5 linked regions of the Ovis aries genome follow. The protein of the gene in region 4 purifies or fractionates together with the protein of the main gene of each other region. This does not show direct contact. Links are inferred from orthologs where the notes say so. Each region holds a gene or a part of one and is shown on either strand. Other genes may lie near its edges.

Region 1 (3,046 bases), on a different chromosome or scaffold from region 4:
ATTAGGGTCTTTTCAAACGAGTCAGTTCTTCGCATCAAGTAGAGGTTACAGAAGCAGAGAGTATCCGTAATGAGGAGAGAGGAGGCAGAGGGTATGGAAGGTTGATGTGGGGACTGAGTAGGTCGTGGGGAGGTCACCAGGAGCGCAGGACAATCAGCGTTTGCCTCACTGGCAGCCCTGGATGAGCGACACGGAGGAGTCCCAGTACCTGGACCCAGCGCTGCGGAAGAGGGCGGTGAAAGTGAAGCACGTGAAGCGGCGGGAGAAGAAGTCTGAGAAGAAGGTGACAGGGCGCAGTGGGTGTGAGGAGGGAAAGGTCAGGGCCTGACGGGCTGGGGCACCGGGGGTGTCAGGGGTCCAGAGATGCCTTCAGCCCTGCCCTGACCCCACGCGTGTCGTCCCACAGAAGGACGAAAGATACAAGCGCCATCGACAGAAGCAGAAGCACAAGGACAAATGGAAACACCCAGAGCGGGCTGACGCCAAGGACCCCGCGTCGCTGCCGCAGTGCCTGGGGCCTGGTTGCGTGCGCGCCGCCCAGCCCGGCTCCAAGTATTGCTCCGACGACTGCGGCATGAAGCTGGCGGCCAAGTGAGTCATTTTGGGGGTGTCGGGGAGGACACGGTAGGGCATGACCGGAGCCCCCAGTCGGTCACGTGGCCACCGTTCAGTCAACCAAGCACCCACCTGTCCGTCCACCTGCTCACGCACCCATCCTCTGTCTGCCCGTTCATTCCCCTGGTTACGCACCCTTTCACCCTTGAGTCCCCTTCCATCCTGCATCGGAGGACCCCACTTACCCGCCTCCTTGCTGGCTTCCTCCCCTGCGCACCGAATTCCCCACGTCCCTGTAGCCGCATCTACGAGATCCTCCCGCAGCGCATCCAGCAGTGGCAGCAGAGCCCGTGCATCGCCGAGGAGCACGGCAAGAAGCTGCTCGAGCGCATCCGCCGGGAGCAGCAGAGCGCGCGCACCCGCCTCCAGGAGATGGAGCGCCGCTTCCACGAGCTCGAGGCCATCATCCTGCGCGCCAAGCAGCAGGCGGTGCGCGAGGACGAGGAGGTGAGGGCCGCGGCCGCGGCAGCCCGGCGCGGGGCCGCGTGCCTGGCCCTGTCTGGCCTCATGGTCCCCTCCGCCCGCGCAGAGCAATGAGGGCGACAGTGACGACACGGACCTGCAGATCTTCTGCGTCTCCTGCGGGCACCCCATCAACCCACGCGTTGCCTTGCGCCACATGGAGCGCTGCTACGCCAAGGTCAGGGTGTCGGCCCAAGGGGGTGGACAGTGTGGGGACATCGTGGGGTCCGTGGGGAGCAGGTGGGCCGTCTGGCGAGGGCCCGCAGCGCACACCCACAGTTCCCTCGTTTGTGCTCGCCCCTCCAGTACGAGAGCCAGACGTCCTTTGGGTCCATGTACCCCACCCGCATCGAGGGGTGAGTGTGGGCGCGTGCGGGGTGAGCGCGGGGTTACGGCGGGGTCGGTGGCCGCCGCCGGTGCAGGCGGGGGCGCTGCTGTCCTCCTCTTCCACGCCCTCCGCTCCACACCCCCAGGGCCACACGGCTCTTCTGTGATGTCTACAACCCTCAGAGCAAGACGTACTGTAAGCGGCTCCAGGTGCTATGCCCCGAGCACTCACGGGACCCCAAAGTAAGGCTTTCCCATCCCCGCTCCCTTCCTCTGCCCATGTTTGCCCCTTCCACTGCCCGGCCTCCTCACCGTCATCCCTCTCTTTTCTGGGGCACCCCTTCCTTGCATTCCTCTCTTCCCTCTGCCCGCCTCTTGGTTCCTTCCCACTCTCCTCCGAACTTGCAACTTCCCCCACCCACCCCGGCCTCCCTGCAGGTGCCAGCTGACGAGGTATGCGGGTGCCCCCTCGTAAGGGATGTTTTTGAGCTCACGGGTGACTTCTGCCGCCTGCCCAAGCGCCAGTGCAACCGGCACTACTGCTGGGAGAAGCTGCGGCGCGCCGAGGTGGACCTGGAGCGTGTGCGCGTGGTAGGTCTTGACTGCGTGCTAGGCCCTGACCGTGGATGTGCGGCTGCCAATGTGGATGCGGCCGCGGTTGGGTGGAGCGGGGCTCCAGAGCTGCTTCTTAAGGCTTCTGCTCCCCACGCAGTGGTACAAGCTGGACGAGCTGTTTGAACAGGAGCGCAACGTTCGCACAGCCATGACCAACCGGGCGGGCTTACTGGCCCTGATGCTGCACCAAACCATCCAGCACGACCCACTCACCACCGACCTGCGGTCAAACGCCGAGCGCTGAGCCTCGGCGGCCCACACGTCCTCTCTACCTGCACTGTGGGTGGGCCCGGCCCTGGACCCCCGTTTGTCTGGTCTGCGGTTCATGTTTCTCCGACGGTCCCCGAGTCCCTGTGCCCATCCGTCCACCATCTGACTGCCTGTCTGCCCTTACCAGAGGGCCTTGGAATTTCACATCTCTCCGTTCTCTGTGCCTGGGTGGGACTGTGGAGTCTGCTCACCCGTGCCTCCCCGAACTCTGGTTTTGTTAATAAAATTTTGATGAAACAAAAAAGATAACTGTTGGTGGTCTCCAAACTTTTCAGTTGCAAATACGTTCCCATGGTCCTAGAGTAGAGGGGCGCACCTGTGTTTCAGAGTGGCTGTGTACAGGTGTAGACTGCACGAGGCTGCACATATTCAGCTGGCGCCCATTTGGTGCTCTGCAGGCCCCACCTTGGGCGTGGGGATCTGGCTTGCTGAATGAGAGTCCAGTGACCTCCACTGCCATCTTGTTATTGTGAGACTAGGTGTTTGATCAGCATTCCTTCCATGAATGGCTGATTTATCATTCCTATGTGAACAGGAATCTTCTTACTCTTACGCATATTCTCCAGACCAGAGTTGTATTAAATGATGGACACAAGGCCTTCCTCTTCCCTGCAAAGCCCTCTCTTGGGGTGCACATACACCAGGAGCGCCCCCCACACCACCCCCAATGTCAGGGCCAGTCAGCGCCAGGCACTGCCTTTCCAGGATGGATGCACCCTGGTGGGTTCCACGGACCTGGCCTTTTATCTGCAGAGCA
Region 2 (3,514 bases), on a different chromosome or scaffold from region 4:
CCACTTGAAAGAGTTGCAGTGCGATGGACTCTGTCCCTTTAAGAGGAGGCGGGATGGAATGTTTGTCCTGAGGTCACTAAGGAGACCACAGTTAACAGGGGAGGCAGTTGGAGTGAGGCGAGGAAGAGGTGAGGCGAGGCGCAGGCAGGGGTCTTGGGTATAGAATGTGAAATGTGTTAAAATGTTAATACTGAGAATTTACCTAGAATCAGAAACGTGTTTGTGGACCATTTAGGTATGATGATTGAATGAGGAGACAGGAGGAGAAATGTTCTTTAAATGCATAAATACACAAGGATAAGCTGTACCACAGGGATGTCCAGTAATTATTAATCTTCTGAAATCTTTATTAGGTTTTTTAACTAAAATGACGACATAGCTACAGTGTTAAGAATTTCTAAATAATTGCTTTCATGTATAATTTTCTTGTTCATCTTTTCATGTTTTGTTCCTGATTCTCCCTCTGGTTTTTATTGGCCTGGGTCCATCAGAAGTAGGGTTGTAATTAGGAAGCAGCTGATGCCAGTGACTGATTTTGGAATCCTCCCTCCCACCCACTGAGCCCTCTGCACTCGACCACCAGCTCCCTCTACCAGGGTGCCAGCCATGGCCTGTCCCAGCCCCTGCTTTCATCGTGTAGTCAAAAGTATACATCTTCCCTTTTTAAAAAAAAGTCCTTGTTGGGGGGCCGTATTTGTGGACTGGGCGAATGTTTCTGTAGGTCGCATAATGTAGACTTAAGAGATTGCTTGGAAAGTTTTGTGCCTTTTTTTCCCTTAAATGTGATTTTAGTTCTGGTTGCTTTAGATCTTTAAACTGTTTTTTTTGTTTGTTTGTTTGTTTGTTTGTTTTAGGAGTTTACTCCGTGGACACAGTCTCAAGATAATTTACCTTGTGATCTGTGAACAGTGGCTGACGACAGCAGCACTGGGGGCCTGGCGCTTTCCTTGTGCCTCGAGGTTGTAACGGCCCTGTTTGTGCTGGGTTTAGGAAGTCGGAAGAAGTGCCCATGCTTCTGTGTGGGGCAGGTAACAATGGCAGTAGTGTTGACATCTTACTGACCAGAGATGTACTGATGCATCTTTTGTTATCCAAATGTTATTTACCAGAGACATTTCAGTATTCACTTACATAACAAATTATTAGCCACAGTTTTGTTTTTGCAAAACTCCCACAGTTGATAATATGTTAAATGCCAACAACACAATTTTAAGTTCTGATGTCATGTTTTTATTTCAAAAGTGGCATAATATATGTATAAAAACTGGTGTACCATTAATATTTGTTTGAGATATTCTAAACTTTAGCTCAAGAGTGTCTAATCAATCATTAAATTGAGTGTTCCTTTAGCTTACAATGACGTGCATTCTTGCTGGTGAAGGCTGTATCTTGTGGAGGAGAGTCCTTCCTGCAGAAAGCCTTGGGTGACCAGGACAGTGATGTGGCCCTCGAGGGCACGATGTCACAGAGTGGGTGCTGATGTCACAGAGCGTGGGCCAAGGCCCGGAGTGGGGAGCTGCTGGTCCGGATGGTGGTTGGGAGGTGACACCACTTGGTGGGAACCTAACAGAGAGTTCCGTGGTGTGTGACTTTGAATTTTGTGTATTTTCTGTTTGAAGGTTTTCATTTTGTACGAGTCCTTCCCCTGGGATGGAACGTGGCATAAAATCTGAGTTATCATTAGCATTTAAATGTAATTGAAGCCTGTACAGCTTGGGGAAAAAATTCTTAAGGTATATACTGTATTTTTTCAGGCTTTTTTCATTTGAAATAAGGACAAAGTTTTCACAAACCGGAGCCTTTAATAATCTCTTAGGAGAGAGAAGAAATAGACACACGAGGTGCCATCTGGCTCAGTTGACACAGTCTCGGCTCTAGGATCTGGGTGGGTTCAGTGGGGCTGGGTGTTCAGGGTGCAAACGAGCCCGTCTCCACCCTTCCCCTGCTGGGTGGTGGACATCTCACACTGCCTGGGGCTCCAGAGTTCTGGGCCTAGAGCAAGCCAGGTGGGAGGTGGGCCCATGTCTCCCTGTGGGGAGCCAGAAAGCCCCTGCTGCCCTATCCTGCCCTGTCCTGGCAGCACCACTGCCCAATTCCTCATTCTTGACTTCCGGTATACATGCTTGTCCTCAGAAGTCAGGGGACATGTTCATAGAGGTAGTTTGCTTGCTGGGTTTTCCTCCTGAGCATGGGGTTCGTAACTGAATCCTCCCACACTGTAGAAGCATTTTTGCTTTCTGTAGGTCGGGTTCTCCCGTGTGTGAGGGAGTGCCCCCTTTGCTTGCTTGTAGCTGATGAGTGTCAGGCCCGGACCATAGCCCTGGCTGATGCCTGACATGGCCTGCTTGTGTTTCCTTGTCAGGTATGGACGACAAGGGTGACCCGAGCAGTGAGGAGGCGCCCAAAGCCATCAAGCCCACCAGCAAGGAGTTCCGGAAGACATGGGGCTTCCGGAGGACCACCATTGCTAAGCGTGAGGGTGCCGGGGATGCGGAGGCGGACACCTTGGAGCCGTCGCCCCGGCAGCAGCAAAGTCCATCTCTGCGGCGCAGTGGGCGGCAGCCGAAGCGCACTGAGCGGGTGGAGGAGTTTCTGACCACTGTGCGGCGCCGTGGCCGTCGGAGTGCCCCCGTGTCCCTGGAGGACTCTGGGGAGCCAGCATCCTGTCCAGCGACAGACGCGGAGACCGCCTCTGAAGGCAGTGTGGAGAGCGCCTCGGACGGAAAGAGTGGGCCCAGGTCCAGCTCCACGGGTGCTAAGCAGCGGCCGGCCTCCTCGGCAAAGGCTAGAGAGGGCGAAGACGAGGACGACACGTCCGACAGCGATAGCGACGGACTGACCTTGAAGGAACTCCAGAACCGCCTGCGGAAGAAGCGTGAGCAGGAGCCCGCGGACCGGCCCGCAAGGGGCATCCAGAACCGCCTGCGGAGGAAACGGCGGGAGGAGGACCCGGCTGAGACCGTGGACGTCCAGGCGGGTGATGCGATGGAGGGCTCGCTGCCCACCTCACGGGAGCCTGAGGGCGACCTGGGGGCTGCTGCCCAGGCAGTGAAAGAGGACAGAGAGGGCCGGCCGGATGGGAGAGTGGCCCCGGGAGGGAGAGCCGAGGAAGCCGCAGACTTGGTCCGGCACAAGCCGGAGTGTGAGGTGTACGACCCCAGCGCCCTGTACTGCCTGTGCCGCCAGCCTCACAACAACAGGTGGGTCATGGGGGAGGGGTGGGGGCAGAGCCAGGGAAACTGCCAGAGACTTCACTGTTCTCTTAAGAGAGTTTTAAGCTGGCCTGAATGAGTGACTTGTTCATTGGGAAAGACGAGCAAGTCATTGTCAGAAAGAAACCAGTGGAGTGGGCGGGCACTACCCAGAACCATGCCCTTGCCAGGTGGTGGCTGGTGTGGAATGTTGGCTGCCTGGTCACACCAGCCATGGCAGTGAATGGGTGCGATGGCTTGCACCAGAGTGGGTCTGCTGCCCAAGAGAGCCCTCGGGACGCTGCTTGGACTGGCTGTGACTG
Region 3 (3,514 bases), on a different chromosome or scaffold from region 4:
ACACAAAGCATGGGGGCTGGGAGGCCCCCCAAGAACAGGATCTGTACAGGCCGGCACCCCAGGTTTCCACAGGAAACAGCTGCTGGCAGCTACAAAACATTTACAGCTTCTTCTCCGCAAAGAAAAAAAATTGGGGGGGGGGGGGGGGGGGCAGGGGCAAGAGAGGGCCCGCAGAAGGTGCCTCACGGGACTCAGGCCCCCTCGCTGGGCTCAGGGCCCCCAAGCCCACATTCCAAGAGGGGGCAGGTGGGCCCCACTGAGCCCACTAAGGCTGGGAGCGCTGGGAGCTCAGGGCGGCGAGGGGGAATAAATAGGGGTGAGGGCACCAGTCCTGCCCCACCTCAGTTGAGGGAGCCGCGGCAGCTCTCCGTGCCGCACAGACACGGGATCTTGTTGTCCTCCAGGGGGAACTTGTAGTCGTAGGTGATCTCCTCATCCACACCAATCGGCTGCTTCGAGTAGATTACGATCTTCTTCTGGGACTCGATGGTGATCACCTTGGCATAGCAGTTGGGCTGCAGGCCGAGGGGCGCATCAGTGGCAGCTGCCCCCCGCCCCAGCTCCCGCCCCACCCCCTCCCGCCGCCCCTGCCCGGCCCCGTCCTCGCACCGTGCAGCAGTGGTTGATGAACCTCGCCAGGTTGCCGCACTTGGTGGCGTCGATGATGGTGTCATGGTCTACCCGGAACAGGTAGCTGCTGCCAATGCCCTCTTGCACATAGCGCTTCTCCCGCATGTCAGCCACCATCTAACGAGACAGAGGGTGATGGTCAGGGGGCTGCCCCTCAGCTTCCTGCCAGGCCAGGCTGGACTCCACTGGCCCCTGCGATCAGGGGTCTGGACACTCCCCCAGCTGCCAGCCTGGGAGCCACGCCAGCCTGTCCTGAATCCACAGATCTCCCTCTAGCACCCGCTACCTCAAAGCGCTGACTTCTGACTTTGCTTCCAGGACTTCCTCTGATGAACACCTCCCAATACCCTTGGCTGCTGTTATGACAGAGGCACCCAGAGGAAGGAACCCAAGGAAGTCTGCACTGACCACAGGGCAGGAGAAGCAGCCACTGGCTCCTCCCAGGGGAGTCTGCCTGACCCATGGGGGAGTCCCCAGACTCTCAGAGGCTGGGACGGTTCCTGAGATGTCAGTGGTTATTTCACGGACTGAACCCTACTCTTCTCCCAGGACCCTCTTTCCACATCGGGACCTACGGCTCCCGCTGTCTGCCATCAGGGCCCACATTTTCATGTGAGGAGTAACTCGTTTCCCAGTAAACAGCCGGATAAACCCTCTGCACTCTCCCCTTGGGCAAACTCACTCTCTTCCAGGCCTTCGAGAGCCAGTTAAGTGGGGGGACTCCTCCCAAACTCCTCTCTCCAGCCAAAATCCACCTCAGTGGAACTGCTGGGCGTCACCCATGAGACATCCCCCGGGCACTGTCCTGACCAGAGGCCTCTGACCACACACCCGCTCCGCCTCTTTGCTGGCAGCCTTTCCTACTCCCAGCTGCTAAAGGCAGTGCCCGGAGAAACCGTCTTGCCTCAGCCCTTGCCTTCCATCTTCAGAATCAACTGGTTGACTGGTTCCGCCAGCTACTTGAAACCCACTGCCCGTTCAGGCCACCCCTACCTTCAGCCTGGATCTCTGCAACAGCCCCACCCTGTTCTCCACATGGCAGTCAGATGGAGGTTATTAACCTCCAAATCCTCTCCTGCTTACTGCTTCACGGCAACTTTTCTCACCATCGGTCCAATCTCATTAACATGGCTCCCAAGCTCTGTGGCGTCTGGCCTCCACTGGCCCGAGTTTTCCCAGTGACCTGCTTGTGCTCCTAGGACCATCCTGCCTCCAGGCCTTTGCCTATGCCTCCTACATGGGGGAGCGTCCTGCCCTCTAACTGGGGCCTGGAATGCCTCAGCATCATTCAGCTTCTGGTGTAAACGTCATTCCTGCTGCCCTTGCCCCCCTGAACACCTCCTTTCATACCAACTGAACATCATTCTTCACTGGAGTACCTGTTCAGTACCTGTCTTGCTCACTAAACTGTGAGGTCTTTAAGGGAGACATAATATTCATCTTATTTGTTACTGGATCACTAACATCTAGTTTACTAGCTGCTGTTGTTTAATTGCTCAGTCATGTCTGACTCTTGTGACCCCAGCCTGCCAGGCTCCTCTGTCCATGAGATTTCCCAGGCAAGAATACTGTAGTGGGTTGCCATTTCCTTCTCCAGGGGATCTTCCCAATTCAGGGATGGAACCTACGTCTCCTGCACTGCAGGCGGATTCTTTACTGCTGAGCCACCAGGGAAGCTAGTTTACTAGTACCCGTGAATAGCTGTTGAAGGAAGGAAGGGGAACAAAACAGGCAGGTGTCACTGGCTAAGTCTGGGAGCCAGGTGAGAGCATGGGCTTTCACCCAAAGGCTGGGTGGTTCTCGTGTTAGGTCAGGGGCTGAAGCCTCACCTGGCGAATGTTCTGACCCACGTATTCGATGACCATCTCATCAGCGGCGATGGGTTCCATGGCAAACAGTCCCCACTCGTGGATCCGGCTCCGGCCGAATCGGAGCTTCTTCTTCCGGAACTAGAGGGCAGAAGGCAGATTGTGCCACTGGGAATCCCCTTCAACCCAGCCGCTGGCCACTCCTCAGACCTCTGGGGCAGAAGTGTTCTGGCCACTTGTGCCCAGACCACCCCTAGGAGTCTCCGTGATGCCACCTTCCCACAGTGCCCCTGCCCTCCTCAACTCCCACTCCTCCCTCACCTTGAGCTGGTTTAACTTCAGCAGATCGCTGTCCATGATGGCAGAAGTGCCGATGGCGCTCAGCAGCCGCCGCTGCTCCGACCGGCGCTCCGAAAGCACACGGTTAGTCCCCTGCAAGGAGCAGGCCAGGGAGGAGGTAAGTGACATGAAAACTCATGGAAAGAAAATGCTGCCACTGGGCAGGTACCCAGGCAGAGACTCACCTGAGTATCCACTCCTTCCAGCTGCCGGGCTGAGACAGGGCACACATCCAGGTACCGGTCCTTCTCCTTCTTGCTGATGGGGTAGTAGCCTTCGCTGCGGGCTGAGCCTGTCTGGTGTTCCCGGGGCCCATCTTGGGGCCGCCGCTTGCGTTTCGGAGTGCTCAGGTTGGTGAGTGCAGGGTGTCAAGGAAGAGAACGGGGGTGCTCCCCAGTCAGATCCCTGGGGCTCTGCTCCCCTCTGTCCCTGCCCCCCACCACCACACCCCCAGCCCAGTCCCAGTCCCAGCCCCAGCCCCAGCCCCAGCCCCAGCCCATGGAAAGGGTGACTGACTGGCCTTAGCTGGAGGTCCTGAGCTTACTCACTGTTAAGACAGAAGGACAGACAGAAATGTCTTAGACTCCACCTTTTCTGCCACCAAAACATCAAAAGGCAGAAAACAGGCATGAAGCAGAGAGAAATGGTGACTTGGCAGCCAGAGAAGAAATACCCAAGCTGAACGTGGCAGAGAACAGGACAGGGACTGAGGTAAACACAGACCCAGGAATGATCGC
Region 4 (4,032 bases):
ACCCACGATGGTTTAACACTAGCATTTTCTAAAGAGCTCTGATACTGACTAAAAGGACTAAAACACTGCAAACAACCCTGTATAAACCTACAACTGCAATGAATTTTTTAAAGAATGGAGAAATGCTAAAATATAAAACCATTCAATAAAGTGCAACTAAATTAATAATAAATGAATGTACTTTGCTGTGTGTAACTTTGTTCAGATACAAAAAGATAAAGAATATACAGCTAAAGCCCAGAGATGGAAAACAACAACAAGCTGCCTAAGTCTCAAGTGTAAATACTTTAACAATGATACATTACTTGGGAATTTGACCACAGTACTTCCAGGAGACAGAGTAAGAAACTTTCTACAAATTAAATACTTAAATTCTACCAAGCTCCAAGTGAGAAGCTAATATTGAGCCTAGACCCTCAATCATTAGACCTGGCAAATGAACTGTATACTCAGGAAAGTAAAGTAAATTTCCTAACAAGGCACAGCTAGCTGACCACTAACGTTAAGAGCAGAGAGACCTGCATCCACATTTGTGGACGGTTATACCTCTTATGGGCTTCCCTTGTGGCTCAGCTGGTAAAGAATCTGCCTGCAATGTGGGGAACCTGGGTTCGATCCCTGGGTTGAGAAGATCCCCTGGAGAAGGGAAAGGCTACCCACTCCAGTATTCCGGCCTGGAGAATTCCAGACTGCTATTGTTTCCCAGCTCACTCTGCTTCTGTTCAATTCGGTCCCATTTATTTTGGGGCTTCCCTGATGGCTCAGATGGTAAAGCGTCTGCCTGCAATGAGGGAGACCCGGGTTCGATTCCCGGGTCGGGAAGATCCCCTGGAGAAGGAAATGGCAATCCACTCCAGCACTCTTGCCTGGAAAATCCCATGGACGGAGGAGCCTGATAGGCTACAGTCCATGGGGTCGCAAAGAGTCGGACACGACTGAGCGACTTCACTATTCACTCTATCTATTTTAAACAAGTCTCTAGAACTCCCTTCCTTGCTCCTTATTTTTAACCCATACTTTATCAACTTTTCAAAAGCCGCCTATCTGCTATTTTAACACTAGAAATGACAACTTTCTCAAATAAAATAACAGGCAGAAAAGGGCAAGCAGGGGCTTCATTGGTAGTCTAGCGGTTAAGACTATGCGCTCCCAATGCAGGGGGCACAGGTTCCATGCCTGGTCCGGGGAACTAAGATCCCGCAAGCCGCATGGTGCGGCCAAAAAAGAAAGAAAAGGGCAAGCTAGAACAAGAGAATCTAGGACAGACTCTTAAATCTTTAAAAAAAAATCCCTGAGCGAGAGGGGAACACTACCAATCTCACTACCTACAGTCAAATATAAGATACAATTGAAGATTCATCTCTTAGTGCACAATGTCCAAGAACAATAAAACCCTTGACATCTCAACTGAGAAACCAACAAAAAAATAACCTCGTGGGAAACCTTAGAACCGCAGCCCAATCCCCCCTCCCTCCCGCCCCAAACAGCCTCAATACGGAAAGGCAGCTGAAGGACACCCCTATAATTTGGAGTTTTCTTATTTTTAGTACTAAATGCTCTCAGACTAATTGTCTAAAAGGGCAACCGCCTTGCACTTGTGCAGCTACACTCCAGTTGCTTTACAAACTCTTCAAGCAGGGATGAAAACTCAAAAAAATATACCCCCTATGAATAAAGAAATACCGGGCTAAAGAATGGGGATGGAAGACCCAGAGACAGACGGCGGCGGAGGAATACAAGGACAAAGTAACACAAAGCGAGAATTGGGCGGGCAGGATGGTCAACGCCGAAGCCCCCGCACTAGAGTGGTTTCTCCCCGAGGGTAGGAAACGGACCGCAGGGCTGGCAACCACGCGAAGGAAAGGGTGTGGCTCCCCGCGGGAGCGGAGGGAGGACAGGGTGGGAAATCCAGGCTGGGGGCAGCGAGTGGAATTGGGAGATGGCAAAAGAAACCCCTGGAAATTTCCAATCGAAACCGGGGCCGCTCAACCCAAGGCACAGCACACAGGCGCTGCCAGGCGCGGTGCTGCTCAAAATCCCCTGCTGGAGAGGTTACTCGGAGCGCACCCAGGAGCTTGCGCTCGTCCTTGGGGTGATGCAAAGTGAGGATACGATTACATTGGAACGGCACCTCCGCCCTAGATTGACAGAGGACCACCAAATCGGGCTAAAGGGAGCGGGGTGGAGGGGGAAGAGAAGGGGGCGGTGAGCTGAACTGGGGAGAAAACGACTGCGAAGGAGAATGAAAGGCAGCGAGAAGGGCAGGGATTCCAATGCAGTCCATTCTGAGACAGTCTAAGCGCGCAGGTGTAGAAGGGTCCCGAGAGAGCAGAAGGCTAGAAAATGTATAGGATTACAAAGCAAGAAAGGAAGCAAAAAGCAAGCAAGCGAGAGAAAATGTTTTAGGAACGGACGACAGCAGAAAACCCAGATCAGATGCCGCTAGACGCCGAAAAGCTTAGCGATGCCACTGATGCAATGGGGATGGCCAGAGGGGAGGGAGTGATGAGAGGCAGAGGACGGCGCGAGACCCCAAGGGGGCGTCTGCCAAAGTAGAACAGACACCGGTACCTGTGCTGTCGGCCACGTTGCCCACGGAAGACGCCATCTGGAGCTTCTAGAGCGAGTGCAAGAAGGGGGTGATTGAATCCTGCAGCCGCCACTACTGGCAATAATGTTTCTAGAGGTAGGAGCACGAGGGCAGCAGCCGTACCAGTGCTTTGGCAGGCTTAAGCAGCAGCAACAGTTACAGCTTTCGAACCCTAGAACTCTGGTTGGCCATCTACCTCTCACGGTCTTGAAATGGCGGCGACGGCTCCTCGGCCGAAACAACACGGACCGGAACTACTTTCTGTTACAATCAAGTACCAGCGCGGAAGTAGCGCGGTAACCAGTGCTACCAACAAAATGACTATAATCAAAGTCAATCGCTCCTATGTAACCTTCCGCGCAGGGCCCATTGCGACAAACACGATTATGTCTAGAGCGCATGCGAGCAGCCGTGTCAGCCCGACTGGCTGTTAGGGCACTGTCTGGGACAGGAGCCACCAAGTTTTTTTTACTAGCGAAGCGGATGGTTTAAAAGAAACTATACACTTGAATGACACTTTTGCCAGTGGTATAGTCTGCTGCTGCTGCTGCTGCTGCTGCTGCTGCTGCTAAGTCGCTTCAGTCGTGTCCGACTCCGTGCGACCCCATAGACGGCAGCCCACCACGCTCCCCCGTCCCTGGGATTCTCCAGGCAAGAACACTGGAGTGGGTTGCCATTTCCTTCTCCAATGCACGAAAATGAAAAGTGAACGTGAAGTTGCTCAGTCGTGTCCGACTCCCAGCGAACCCGTGGACTGCATCCCACCAGGCTCCTCCGTCCATGGGATTTTCCAGGCAAGAGTACTGGAGTGGGTTGCCATTGCCTTCTCCATGGTATAGTCTACTACTTAGCAAAGAGCATAGATTTTAATAGGAATGCCAAAGGCGTATACAGGTTTCATCAACTTCATTCGTATAGTTGAAAGATGATGAATCAATTCTGAGCAAGTAAATCTAAATGGTTATATTTTCAAAGTCTAGAATTCAAAAGAGAGAGTTCCAATTTGAACACGTGTTAGTTCTGATTCCAGCCATTGGTTTAAGCACTTTGATTAAAAGGATTGAGTTTCTCAGGGCCAAATGAACCCAAGCATCTCAGATTTTGGCCATATAGCCCAAAAGTTCCAAATCCTCTTGGTTTCACGATAATTTTGCCCACAGTATTACGGCAAATGCTTCACAACTCAGGGACATGCTGACAGTTTGCACTGCAAAGGCAGCAGCCATAAAACTGTTAAAGATTCATATTCTTCAAAATCCATGACCCTTCCGAGTTGACTTCATTTCCACCACATTGCTTTGTGAATTGTTACAATCAGTGATACCATTTAACTCAAGGCAGCTCAACAATGATAAATTGATTCATTTGCCATCTACCTAAACCACACATCTAGAGACTAAACTGCTGCGCTTCCTTGAACAAATCAGTTCTTTATGATCCTC
Region 5 (4,026 bases), on a different chromosome or scaffold from region 4:
CAGTTCCTAGGCCCTCTCTGTTTAGGTAATATGGCCTTGAACACAGACGAGATGCTAGCGATATCTAGGTGGCTTTTATTTATTCACTAAATAGGGCGAACTGACGCTGGCCTTGCTTTGGGGGGCGCTCACGGAGCGCCAGGAGAGGAGGGGGCGGGACTAGAGTTTTCCCGCTCTCTTCCGCAAAAAAGCTACTCCCCTAAGAGAGCCGAGTCCGTATCCGAGAGGCAGGCCCCAGGTAGCTCACTCCCAGGTCCTTTCTTGTCCTTCCTCCGTAATCCGCCGGAGACCCCAAGAAATGAGCGCTGGCAACAGGTGGGCCGGACTCCAAACCGGAAGGCAGCGAACTGAACTTCATCAATAGCCGACAGATGGGAACAATCTCCCTGGGAGCCAAACCCTGCCCCAGGACGGAGCTCAAAAAATAAGTAACACGGACGAAACAAACGAGACCCCCAGCCCAAACCTCTAGGAGGTTACGAAGAAGCGGCAAATATGCAGAACTGGGTCTTCCTCCTCTCCTTGCACTGGGTGCCACACGGCATTCCCACCTGGACATCAAGAACCATTTGGAACTCTAGCAGAATTGGGCCACTCTCGACTTCTCTGTCAGCAGGGGATGAGCTGCCCTGGATATTGCCTAAAGCATCCACGGCAACCCTAGGTTGCTCAGAGGTTTTGATAAAGCTTAGTAAGGACAGCGGCTGCCTTATGCTGGAAAGAAAACACACTGGCAGCGTCCGCAGCGTTCTGAAGCTAGGCTTAGGGCGGTCTCCGGGAAGTTGAGTCGCAAGAAAAGCCAGGATGCAGGGTCAGAACTTTAGTACTTGGCGAGGAAGGACAGACCACACCCCCTCCTCCCAACCCTTGCAGAACCACAGGAGCAAAGCCCCCCAAAGCCACCCTACACCGTCAACCCCTAACTTCAAAGCGAAGGCTACCAGATCTCGAGCCTTGGAGGAAACATCGTGTGCCTTTCTCGGCTCTCCCTGCCCCCCTTGCCAAGAGCTCCAAGCCCGGGACTTCCGGGCGGGAGGACTGTTCGAAGGAGCAAGGCGCGCCTTACACATGTGCTGAGCGCGCACACACGCTAGGGTAGGGGGCGGGGAACAGGGGTGGACTTCCCTCTCCAAGCTCGCTCCCCCGTAGGGGGCGGGACTATCCACCTCACCAATCAGAAGTAGGGGCGGACCCTTGCGCCTCACGTAAGCCGCAGGAATCCTCCCTCCGCCCTTCACGGAAAAAAATCCTAGCAACTTAAACTCCAGCCCGGCCTCCGATAGGCGGAGCTGGGAAGAATGTCATCCAATCAACAACCGAGCAGGAAAAAAGGGAGCCTCGCCCAGCCAGTGGAAAACAAGAGAAGGCGGGCACTCTGAAGAAGCCCGAGACGGGTGGAAGAGAGGAGGGAAGGCCCCGCCCCTCAGCTCGCCTCCAGGCCGGTTGCACAAGCCGTCGCCGGAGTATAGTAAACAGGCTAGGCCAAGGAGTGGAAGCTGGGGTAGTCTGGCGCTCCAAGGGCCGGGCCCCTGCGCCTCCTCTCCTGGCGTCGCCCCGCCCGACCTCCGCGGTTCGCGCCGGCGCCCCGCCCCCCAGCCCGCGGCCGCCATCCCGACTGACAGGCGCGCCTCCCGCGCCCCTCCCGCCCGCTGATGCATTTCCTTTTCCCGATTTCGAGCGTGGAGACTGTTTGCCCAGTTTCCGACCTTCACTGCCCCTTTCAGGCTACCCCCTCGTGGGCGCGCTCACTCGCCGGTGCCCCCGCCCCCGCCCCTTCCGCGGGCGAGCAGCACGGCAGGGGGAGGGGAAAGGAGCCGCCGTCGCCGCCTTGGGGTGGGCGGGGAAGGAGGCAGCTCCATGTTTGCAAAGGGATCAGCTGGGGCTGCGGGTCGAAGCCGCCGAGTTCCTGGAGGTTTTCCACACCCCCGGGCCGGGTTCCGGCGCCGAACGCTAGCTCTCCTGCCACGGCCCGGGAGTTCGGAGAGCTCAGACCGGCGCATGGGTCTACTGCCGAGGCGCTGGGGCTCTTTCCGGTGGCCTCCCCCGCCCCCGACCGCCCCTCCCGCAAGTCCGGCGTTGCCCCCGCCCCCAGAGTCCATAACAACCGCGGGCCCAAGGAGCCCGCGCCTCTTCTGAGCGCGCCCACCGCCCCCTCCGACAAGTTTGCGGACAGAAACAAAACCCTTGGGCGGCTGCCGCCCTCGCCCAGCGTGGTTAGCGGGGAAAGCTGCGGGCCTGGGCTCGCTCGCTAACTCCAGCTCTCGACCAACTCCGGGCGGTTTGGTGGGCCCGGCCGGCTGAGCTCAGGCCGCCGCCCCCTGCCGAGCCCGCGCGCCGCATCTCGGGCCCGGTTCCAGTCGGTGTACGGAATCTCCCCTTTTTTCTTCTTTACAATAATTTTTAAAGGCATTCCAGCAGGGCGAGGGATCTCCTCCTGCCGGCCCCTTACCCAGCCCGCCGCCGAAACCTACCGAAACCGACCGCTCGGTGAAATAAACTAGGCAGCACGGCCGGCACACTGGAGACCCCGGGTCGGGCCGACCCCCTCCCCGCGGATCTGGCCCGGCTTGGAAACACACTGGCGAGCGGGCGGCGCCAAGAGCTCTCCTTCCTGGCCTGCCCCTCGCCTCCCTCGGCCGCCGGACTCCAAGCCTCCCCTAGCTCCGTCCCAGGGCCCGCGGCGCCTGCACCATGGCTGACTGGTCAAAGGGACCGGCCGGCAAACAAGCCCCCCAAACGCCCGAGATTGGGGAGACCAAATTAAAAGCAGCTGTTTAACATACCTTCCGAGCCAGGCGAGGAGTCCTGAATGGGGGGGAACGCCCCCCACGGGCCATTGGCTCCCTGGTGCTCGCGTCAGTCATCCTGGGCCCGCCTCCTCCCCTTGCTCCACCTCTTCCCCTTCATTGAACGCCCCCTCCCTCCAAAAAATAGAAATAAATTAATTAAACTAGCTGTGAGTGGGAGGTGCAACCATGGCAGAGGGCCCCATCTCTACCGCACCGCCGCTTGGAGTTACTTGAGGCCCTTGGACTGGAAGGAGACCTCCTGGGACTCGGAGATTCGCTGGGTGAACCTGGAGGAGGAGCTATTGAGGCTACCCGGCCCCCATATCCTTCTTACACACACCCCATTTGGAACTGGGCAGAGAGAGCGGGTGAGGATACCCTAGCGACTGACTGGAATGTCCCGACTCCCCTGGCTGTGTAACCTAACCGTGTCCGGCGCCTGCCTAAAAACTGAGCGGTGTAAGCGGGAAGTCCTGCCTTCGGGGTAACAGGCACTTGCCTGAGCACCTACAGGGGTGAGGCAGACACATTCACACCGCACCTGCTGCTTTTTGCCATTACAGAAACTGAATGAGATGCTCACTCTGTGTCCTCTTAGGGCTTCAGACCTAGCTGAAGAGAGGATACAGAAAGAGCTAAGGCAATTTGGAAATGTATATAGAGACACCTCCAGAGGCTCAGAGCAGGGAGAGTCTTCTAGCTGAGGAAAACTGGGTGAAGACTTCATGGAGGAGGTGGCACTCACGCAGAAACGGAGGGGCAATTAACTCATTTTCAGCAAAGCACACAAAATGATAAATGCAAAGCAGTATTAAAAGCTTCTTCAAGTGTGGCTATAGTAACGAAAACCAGAGTTGGAAAGATGGAGTCAGAGAGCAAAGACTTTTCTACCTTGTTAAAATACTTAGACTTGTATAGCAGAATGTACAAGCAGCATGCTGGGTCACAGGACCACAGGCCCAGAACTACCATTTAAGATGCTCAACATCCCAGCAGCTGGATGAATTCTGAGGGTGGGCTGAAAGAAGGGTGACTGCAAGTGGCAAGGGGAGGCAGAAAGGCTTGTAATGACTGGTTTGAAGACTACAGAGGTACATCTTCTGGTGGGAGGGGTAGGTGGAGGGAGCCAAGATGTTTCTTGTCTCTCCTGGTCCCCCAATCCAGAAACCCTTCCTACTTTCAGCAGCCCTAAAGTCAAAATTCGGACTCAGATGCTTCCCTGGATCATTTGTAATTT

What was found.
Region 1: the proteins of OGT (region 4) and CXXC1 purify together in Homo sapiens (affinity purification with mass spectrometry; 3 studies listed by BioGRID and IntAct, with this or other methods). This does not show direct contact. The link is inferred for Ovis aries from reciprocal best matches to the Homo sapiens genes OGT and CXXC1.
Region 2: the proteins of OGT (region 4) and DIDO1 purify together in Homo sapiens (affinity purification with mass spectrometry; 3 studies listed by BioGRID and IntAct, with this or other methods). This does not show direct contact. The link is inferred for Ovis aries from reciprocal best matches to the Homo sapiens genes OGT and DIDO1.
Region 3: the proteins of OGT (region 4) and SETD1A purify together in Homo sapiens (affinity purification with mass spectrometry; 4 studies listed by BioGRID and IntAct, with this or other methods). This does not show direct contact. The link is inferred for Ovis aries from reciprocal best matches to the Homo sapiens genes OGT and SETD1A.
Region 5: the proteins of OGT (region 4) and SIN3A purify together in Homo sapiens (affinity purification with western blotting; 4 studies listed by BioGRID, with this or other methods). This does not show direct contact. The link is inferred for Ovis aries from reciprocal best matches to the Homo sapiens genes OGT and SIN3A.

The regions. Positions count from the first base shown.
Region 1 is NC_056076.1:50,259,437-50,262,482, reverse strand, and holds the end of CXXC1 (CXXC-type zinc finger protein 1), read left to right. Parts: intron 1-175; coding exon 176-283; intron 284-406; coding exon 407-591; intron 592-854; coding exon 855-1,062; intron 1,063-1,144; coding exon 1,145-1,255; intron 1,256-1,383; coding exon 1,384-1,433; intron 1,434-1,550; coding exon 1,551-1,995; intron 1,996-2,116; coding exon 2,117-2,263; 3' UTR 2,264-2,538; downstream 2,539-3,046. UniProt on the Homo sapiens protein: Transcriptional activator that exhibits a unique DNA binding specificity for CpG unmethylated motifs with a preference for CpGG.
Region 2 is NC_056066.1:54,193,709-54,197,222, forward strand, and holds part of DIDO1 (death-inducer obliterator 1), read left to right. Parts: intron 1-854; 5' UTR 855-1,009; coding exon 1,010-1,028; intron 1,029-1,754; exon of another isoform or gene 1,755-1,885; intron 1,886-2,362; coding exon 2,363-3,200; intron 3,201-3,514. UniProt on the Homo sapiens protein: Putative transcription factor, weakly pro-apoptotic when overexpressed. Tumor suppressor. Required for early embryonic stem cell development.
Region 3 is NC_056077.1:27,630,519-27,634,032, reverse strand, and holds part of SETD1A (histone-lysine N-methyltransferase SETD1A), read right to left. Parts: intron 3,136-3,514; coding exon 2,963-3,135; intron 2,871-2,962; coding exon 2,760-2,870; intron 2,580-2,759; coding exon 2,460-2,579; intron 748-2,459; coding exon 610-747; intron 516-609; coding exon 342-515; 3' UTR 1-341. UniProt on the Homo sapiens protein: Histone methyltransferase that catalyzes methyl group transfer from S-adenosyl-L-methionine to the epsilon-amino group of 'Lys-4' of histone H3 (H3K4) via a non-processive mechanism.
Region 4 is NC_056080.1:64,200,094-64,204,125, reverse strand, and holds the start of OGT (UDP-N-acetylglucosamine--peptide N-acetylglucosaminyltransferase 110 kDa subunit), read right to left. Parts: upstream 2,805-4,032; 5' UTR 2,609-2,804; coding exon 2,572-2,608; intron 1-2,571. UniProt on the Homo sapiens protein: Catalyzes the transfer of a single N-acetylglucosamine from UDP-GlcNAc to a serine or threonine residue in cytoplasmic and nuclear proteins resulting in their modification with a beta-linked N-acetylglucosamine (O-GlcNAc).
Region 5 is NC_056071.1:31,038,039-31,042,064, reverse strand, and holds the start of SIN3A (paired amphipathic helix protein Sin3a), read right to left. Parts: upstream 2,812-4,026; 5' UTR 2,472-2,811; intron 1-2,471. UniProt on the Homo sapiens protein: Acts as a transcriptional repressor. Corepressor for REST. Interacts with MXI1 to repress MYC responsive genes and antagonize MYC oncogenic activities. Also interacts with MXD1-MAX heterodimers to repress transcription by tethering SIN3A to DNA.